3 linked regions of the Bombyx mori genome follow. The protein of the gene in region 1 binds, or shares a complex with, the protein of each later gene. Links are inferred from orthologs where the notes say so. Each region holds a gene or a part of one and is shown in the gene's direction. Other genes may lie near its edges.

Region 1 (3,062 bases):
CCCCTAGGCACGGGACCTCGTAGGAGGTTCGGCCCCCGCCCGAAAATTATAATAATAATAATAAATGGTTAGGAATTGGACTTGGAAAAAATGAATGACTAAATATTAGAATCAGAAGGAGATTATTGTATGTCTGTATTTTAAACTATACTGATAACTATATAGATGTATATTTTGGAACTTTGCAATATTTATACTCTATTTATTATAATACTATATTTATATAATTAAACTTTATACTTTAAATTTCAAATATTTCATAATCAGACATAATTAAAATGATTACATAAAGTAACTAAGTTTTTTTGAAATCTAGATTAATTAACATAAAAAAGTAAACGAAATGAAACCGACCCAAAGTTTTAAGTTACACTGTGGTGGTTGTTGGCATTCACTTTGTAAGTATTCGTTCCGATGAAAACTTAATATCAGCCAAACATAAAACAATAAATAAATAAAACTGCAATAATATGTATACTTTTTTATCTATTCACTTGAATCGAAAATGAACATTCATCACATCCAATTATTACACTAGATTGCACAAAATTACTTTTATTAAGCACATACACCCCACCACATCTACAATCGTATAAATACACATTTTCATCACTGTCAAACACCATTTCAGACAGTCTTACTGTTTCATAAAGCAATAGATCACTATTTTCATGGCAACTTAATGTAGCATCATACTGTTTCCTGGTGCTAGGTTCTCTTAAAACTGACCAAGCTTTTTGTAATAGGCGAAACTTATTATCAGAATCATCAGTTTTATTTTTATCGGGATGTAATGTCAAAGCGAGTCGCTGATAACTTTTCTTCAATTCTTCAAGGCTTGCTGTTCTATCGCAATCTAGTATTTGATAATAATCAATAGGTAGGTCATTACTTTCCATATTTAATAAAAACTCGTAAAAGAGTTTTATTTATAAAAAATAGTTTACCTCTCTTTAATTCAATTGCTGTTCCCACTTCCCAGTCTTTGATTAGAATTTTTTTGTATTTTATTTATGGCCTGGCCCAGTCTTTGATTGATTGTTTGAAATTCATTCTTTATTGTATTATCTATAATTTGTTCATTGGACGGGCAAAAGGAGATAGACCATACAAATTTCAATACTCTTGTCACAAAACTGTAACCTTTAAATAAATATAAATATAATATATATAAATTTAAATGTATGTTAGGTAAGGGGAATAATGGAATTAAATTAATTGCTCATGGGATAAAATTTAAGGAAGTGAATTAAGAAAGACATCACCGTAGGTATTTGTTAGATAATAAATAAGGTTCCATTAAAACTTATAAGATAGGTATGGCGTTCAAATCTGAAGAAACGCACAATTTACGAAATACAATAATTTACACGACTTTGTCCTTCCCCGAAAAAAAGTCCCGCCCAATATACAATTGTTGACGAATAATACCATAGTCGTCTGTGATCACGAATACTTTATGTAGTTATTCTAAGCGTTAGAAATAATTGAAATTAAACGGTTAGGATAGTTTTATTATTATCTACGATTCGCCGAAATAGAAGAAACTGCTATAATCTTAAAATGTAACAAATTCGCTAAACGTGAAGTTTTGTCCTTTGAAGTCACCAGAAATTCCGTTTTTAGATCTGGACAAATAGGCTTGTAAGCTACCTAATGTCAAGGAAAGGATGTCAAAAGTATAACCTCAAAATTTGACAGCCGGGTAACAATAAACATCAAACAAACTAAAACTTATAGAAGTTTTAAATTGTTAACACAAATGTAATGTTGTTTTAGTAAAAATTTCAATATTAACACATTGAAATGCCTACTTGGAACCAAATACAGTCACAACTTAGGAATCCTAACAATCCAGTAGTGTTTTTCGACATTACTGTAGGAACAACGGTAAATACCTCCCCGAACTTATTGTTTTTTATTAGATTTAAAAGAACACACAAAAATTTATGTTTATAAAATATTTATGTTTATTTTAGGAAATAGGTCGTATGATATTCGAGTTATTCGCCGACGTAGTACCAAAAACTAGTGAGAACTTCAGAGAATTTTGTACCGGTGAATACAGGCGGGATGGTGTGCCCTTAGGTTACAAAGGAGCTACTTTTCACAGAGTAATAAAAGATTTTATGATTCAGGGTGGCGATTTCGTAAATGTACGTATTAAGTTTTGTTTATGATAAAACGATGCCTAACTGAACATGATGGAAGTTTATTAATATTTACTATTCATTTTAGGGAGACGGTACAGGCGTTATGAGCATATATGGTGGAAGCACTTTTGCAGATGAAAACTTTGGTTTGAAACATGACTCTCCAGGGTTATTGTCCATGGCAAATAGTGGTAAAGACACGAATGGCTGTCAGTTCTTTATCACATGTGCAAAATGTAATTTCTTAGACAATAAGCATGTAGTATTTGGTAGAGTTATAGATGGATTACTTGTCATGAGGAAAATAGAAAATGTACCAACAGGACCAAATAATAAACCTAAAATACCAGTAACAATATCTCAATGTGGACAAATGTAAATAAAACTTCACTTTAAATTTTATCTTTTTATTATCATTAAATCACAATGGCTCTGCCTCACATTTCTAACAGACTAATAGATAAAATATAATATTCACAAATTTTTACATAAAGTAATCACAATAAATACTCAATAATTATGTACACTGAATTGAACTAATTTTTTTGGTTTGCAATTAGTAAGCGTCAAGTTTTCAAAGTGTGATTGTTTATTAGTAACTTTCTAGGCTGCATTGTTGCCGGCCCATTGCGCCTTCCGACTTCTTTAATGAAAGCACCTTCCATTTGTCGAGCAACTTGGTCAAAAAACAAATTAGATAAATGTGAATGTATAGCTGATCTAAATTCGAATGTTATCTGGAAGTCCACAACACACGACTGCTGTTCTCTTTTTAGACCAGGACTGAATCTCCAAAGGGTCAACATATGGTGGAAGAGTCTTCCATCAGAACACTCTGCTTTTACCAAATGTGGTTTGACTAGCGTAACATTTGAAGTGTAGCTTTCATTGATAGGAGGAAAGCCAATG
Region 2 (2,821 bases), on another chromosome or scaffold:
GCTAATTCAGTAATAGTACTTCTGCGGTAGTAGCTAATTCAATTTTGTATAAATTCAGGACGAATATGTGATAATACGTACTAGGCATGAGTAAAACCTTGTTCTGCTTCTTAGACTGCAGTTGTTGTTTTTTGGCCTTCCCGCTGAACGGGGTCTTCCGACGTGCTTGGGGCATGACGAGTAACTCTGTTAATTATGGACAATGTTATTATGAAGTAAACATCTTTACAACTGTTGAACTGCAAGTACAGTTTTAATATTTTTCTGGGTATTTTAATTATTTTATTGAATATCACGTCATAGTATTTTACCATTATACTTTTTCTCGCTCTGATGACCAGATTTGAAGATACAAAAGTAACGCTTACAGGTGTAAGTGTAAACTCAAAAAATGTAGGTACTGGGTAATGTATTATTTATCAAATATACTAAACTAATTGATCGTAATAAGCGATTAAGAATCTGATTTTCAAAAACCGTAACCGATTTTTAACCGTAATTAAATCAAGAATTAATAAACTTAACTAATTAATAAAGAGAAAAACTAAAATTTGGAACACGAGGTCTCCTTGGAATATTATAATTGTACAGAAATAGTTTCAAACTTACGTTAGACTCAAAACAAGAAATCTATTCCTAATTTCTCACTGAAGGGCTTGAACTTATTATCTTTTTACCTATTTAATTGATTTTCGTGTGAATATGAAAATTATTCTACCGACCGGCTAACAATTGAAAACATTTTTTTTCACAGGATTGACAATTGACAGCTGACCGACAAATTAAAGGCATTGAACTCTGTTTTTTTTTTCAAATTTAGGATATTTTCTAAGGGATTTTATGACCTAGTAACTAAAACTTTTAGGTCAAATCTTATTTTAATTTATTTAATTCTTATTTTTACGAAAAATGATAATATAGAGTGAAATGAAATGAAGATGAAATGAAGTGAGATGAAATTAAATGAAATGAGATGAGATGATGTAGGATGAAATATAATCTCAGTAAAATGGTGGACATTTACTAAGACTTTTCAATTGGCTCTTTGGACGATCCCAACAAGCTACGTCTAGCGGATTTGTTTCAATTTCCCACACTTGTGCACTTTCACAGATATTATACAGTTAAACCTGAAGAAACAATAAATAGACAAAATAAAACAAATCACACAACTTCACTCCCCGCGTTCCCGCCAAAAAGTAAAAATTTATGATAATTTTGACAGCTCACAGTAAGGATGCTAAAGTCATTGACTTTGGATTATCGAACATAGATTTATTCTCATGGAACTAGAAATTGATAGTTGCATGGACAGTAAGCTGTATGGTCAAATTAAAACAAAAAAAGTTACATTACATTTAACTATTAAGTTCAGCAACAAAACCCTTCAACACCAGTTTCGATACGTTCTTTTTTTTCATCATTTATCCTATTGAATGCAATTTTTGTAGACGGGTTCACCTTTAGAATAAATTGAAACCAGGAATGAGATTTCTAATTATTTATTACTAATACAATGGTGTGCAACGTAAATTGTTTTATTATTATTCATCATCATCACAAGATTCACTACTACTAGAACTGTCCCTTAACTCTCCAGTTGGACTCGTCTACTTGTAAATTCTTGTTCACAAACTTCATTACATTACCATTGAAGCAATTTTCACTTCTTCTCAAATATTAAGTGTATTATCTGTGCGTCTTCTGACAACTGAGCACTGTCAGTGTCAACCTAAAGTCCTAAAGTAACCTAAAAAAACAAGAAGTTGACAATACACCAAACAACGCGAAAGTAGGAAAATAAACTTCTAATACAAATAAATAATAAACTTCAAAACGAAGTTGATCATTACATCAAAATGTTGCCGCTATCTTTGTTACGGACAGCGCAGAACCACCCTATGCTTGTCGAATTGAAAAATGGCGAAACTTACAATGGTCATCTCGTAAGCTGCGATAATTGGATGAACATTAATTTACGTGAAGTTATTTGCACGTCGAGAGACGGCGACAAGTTCTGGAGGATGCCGGAATGTTATATACGTGGTAGTACGATCAAATACTTGAGAATACCGGACGAGGTCATCGACATGGTGAAGGAGGAGACACAGGTTAAAGCGCGCGGTCGTAACGAGGTTTCCAAGGGACGCGGGCAAAACATGAGGACCGGTGGCCGTGGTGGTAGCCGAGGCGCATTCGGTAACCGCGGCAGAGCACCTCCACTAGCCCGTGGCGGCGGGAACCCGCGACCACAGAACAAAAATAAAAATAAAATGTAAGATAAGTTTTTTAATAAATTAAGTTATTTGGCTAAGGAATAGTTTTGTTTCATTTAAAGTTCAAAATTCCTCCATACATGCTGGTGCAAAGCAACCATATATTTGACCAAATCCAAGATTATTTATTAGTCATAATCCTGATGTAGAATTCATTGAAAATCAATAATATCTAAATAATTTGGAAACTGCAGATGCACAGGTAGTTATGAATTCATCAATCCATTAATATAAAATATTTAAGCTACCCATATCTCTGTTAAATCTAAAATGGGATACAACTTTATTATTTCTTGATATTTTAAGAAAATACATTTTTTTGTTTTATATCTTTAATTGGTTTTCACACTATTCAATTCGTGTCAATATATAAAAAAAATCAAAGTATACTGAAATCATTTATTTACAAAAAACGCTTAAAGTAATAATACTATTGTATAATATGGCAATACCCATTAATGAAATGGTAAAAAACAGAGTAAAAAAAAACAGTGTAAAAGCAATATTTTAATGATGATCCTTGAAACTTGATACAGATAGAGTTA
Region 3 (2,164 bases), on another chromosome or scaffold:
TCTTGAGAAATTGTAATGATCTTAGCAGACAGCTGGTTCCAGTGTAATCGCTTGTAATGTTGGTTTAGTGGTTGATTATTAGTTTACGTTACTACAGGTCGAAGTCAATGTTACTTAATGGCTTCCGGTTTTGGAGCGCAGTCACAACTCTCTCGTGTTTTCGGTATCTATAAAACTAAGGATCCTCTTTTTTTTTTCTAAATGACTATCTTGTTTAGAACTACACAACAATCGATTGCTAATACATGCACTTATATAAACGAATTACACAACATTCAGGAATATCAAATCAAAAAAGAAAACCTTTGTTCTTTTAGTTTTTAATTATATTCAATTAATGCGACTAATGCGTAAAAACTCACAATGTCGGCGATTTCATCTACAGATGCCATTTTGAAGTTTACGTTTGAGGTTATCTATCTGGTTTTAAGTCCGAGCAACAGTTTTTCGAAGAACTAAGTAAATGAGGTACTGATTGTTTGTGGACACATTACTCTCAGTGTTAAAATCGATTTAAAACAATAAAAAAACACAATTTTCTTTAAAAAATTAAACAACTCAACCAAGCTCAAACGGGATTAGCGGACGCTATAGATTATACATTTCGCTTTAAGGAATTTTATGACCTGGTAATTAAGATCTTTAAGTCATGTCTTATTTTAATTAATATTCTTATTTTTATGAAAAATGTTACAATTATGTAGTGAAATGACATGAAATGAAGATGATTAATTTTAGATATTAATCAACTGCGATGAAATTAAATTAAATTAGATGAGATGAGATGATATGAGATGACATATTCTCAGTAAAATGGTGGTCATTGACTGAGATTTTTTCAGTGGACTTTTTGGAGGATCTCGAGAAGCTATGTCCAGCGGCTTTATTTCATTTACCCACATTTGTACACTTTCACAGATATTAAACAGTCAATAAACCACCATTATCACATTAAATTAGATTACATTATTACATTTAAGCCTGAAGAAACACTAAATAGACAAAATAAAATAAATCACACAGCTTCACTCCTTACGTTCCCGCCAAAAAGTCCCGATTTGTTTTAAAAATTTAAGCACAGGTAACGAAAACGTAGTAAATGCAAGACATTGGAAATGAGATGGTGCTCCTGCACAAAACTAACAAAATTACGGAAAATACCGATTCACACCGCTACAAAAAGCTATTGGCATTGACATTTTATGATTTTGACTTTGAGTTTTAAATGACATTAATTGAAGAACCCAAGCCAAATTACTGTTTCAGCGCGTTTTCAAACAAACAAAACGAAAAATGTTGTTTTACTCGTTTTTCAAATCGTTAGTCGGTAAGGATGTAGTCGTCGAGCTGAAAAATGACCTCAGCATATGTGGGACGTTGCATTCTGTGGATCAATATCTCAATATAAAGCTTTCGGATATAAGCGTGATTGACTCTGAAAAGTATCCTCATATGTTATCAGTGAAAAATTGTTTTATAAGAGGCTCCGTGGTTCGATACGTACAACTGCCGGCTGATGAGGTAGACACCCAGCTTCTCCAGGATGCCGCTAGAAAGGAGGCGACCGTTTCAACAAGATAGAACTTAACCTAACCTACAACTTCAATTTAAAGTGTACATATTAATATAAGCTTAAGTTTCTTAATAAATCATTCTTATAATATAGTGTTTTAGTAGCGGTCTCCGGATATTCATTTCAGAAAAGAAAGTTTCCTTTGATCGAAAAATAACCTAGTTCTTCAGTTTTATGTAAGTTTTATACCAGAGTATGAAAGAATAATTTATCAATAAAAAACATCTATATTTTTACCATTCTCAAAAATGTATCACAGAAAAAAGTTTTTATTACCTTTCACATCAAACTATACTGATAATTATTAGACATAGCTGCATTCCTTAATACTTAAGCCTTTTTTCAAACCAGAATTGATTTAGATCTCTAGTGTACATAATTTGGATGTAAATATTTACAAAGCTGTTATTTTGGATTTTTAAGATATACTTTTTCTGAAGATGGCCATGTCATAGTTTTCCATAGGCAGAAGGGATTGTAAAAGCATCATTAAAATATGTTGCTTGCCAAACACTGAACCTTCCTGAAACCTGAACCTTTTAAACCTTCTCTGGACTTCACGAATAATTCAAGACCAAATTTAGCCAGATC

Evidence for each region.
Region 2: peptidyl-prolyl cis-trans isomerase H (region 1) and U6 snRNA-associated Sm-like protein LSm4 share a complex: the UniProt entries of both Homo sapiens proteins name them as parts of the U4/U6-U5 tri-snRNP complex. The link is inferred for Bombyx mori from reciprocal best matches to the Homo sapiens genes PPIH and LSM4.
Region 3: peptidyl-prolyl cis-trans isomerase H (region 1) and U6 snRNA-associated Sm-like protein LSm2 share a complex: the UniProt entries of both Homo sapiens proteins name them as parts of the U4/U6-U5 tri-snRNP complex. The link is inferred for Bombyx mori from reciprocal best matches to the Homo sapiens genes PPIH and LSM2.

Annotation. Positions count from the first base shown.
Region 1 is NC_085116.1:6,472,008-6,475,069, forward strand, and holds peptidyl-prolyl cis-trans isomerase H, read left to right. Parts: upstream 1-1,466; 5' UTR 1,467-1,806; coding exon 1,807-1,890; intron 1,891-1,979; coding exon 1,980-2,156; intron 2,157-2,238; coding exon 2,239-2,532; 3' UTR 2,533-2,550; downstream 2,551-3,062. Other genes in the region: coenzyme Q-binding protein COQ10 homolog A, mitochondrial, read right to left, coding at 2,720-3,062. UniProt on the Homo sapiens protein: PPIase that catalyzes the cis-trans isomerization of proline imidic peptide bonds in oligopeptides and may therefore assist protein folding. Participates in pre-mRNA splicing.
Region 2 is NC_085117.1:3,991,976-3,994,796, forward strand, and holds U6 snRNA-associated Sm-like protein LSm4, read left to right. Parts: upstream 1-1,492; 5' UTR 1,493-1,859; coding exon 1,860-2,279; 3' UTR 2,280-2,318; downstream 2,319-2,821. Other genes in the region: guanine nucleotide-binding protein-like 1, read right to left, coding at 82-175. UniProt on the Homo sapiens protein: Plays a role in pre-mRNA splicing as component of the U4/U6-U5 tri-snRNP complex that is involved in spliceosome assembly, and as component of the precatalytic spliceosome (spliceosome B complex).
Region 3 is NC_085129.1:20,029,939-20,032,102, reverse strand, and holds U6 snRNA-associated Sm-like protein LSm2, read left to right. Parts: upstream 1-1,220; 5' UTR 1,221-1,293; coding exon 1,294-1,581; 3' UTR 1,582-1,661; downstream 1,662-2,164. Other genes in the region: protein suppressor of forked, read right to left, coding at 363-392. UniProt on the Homo sapiens protein: Plays a role in pre-mRNA splicing as component of the U4/U6-U5 tri-snRNP complex that is involved in spliceosome assembly, and as component of the precatalytic spliceosome (spliceosome B complex).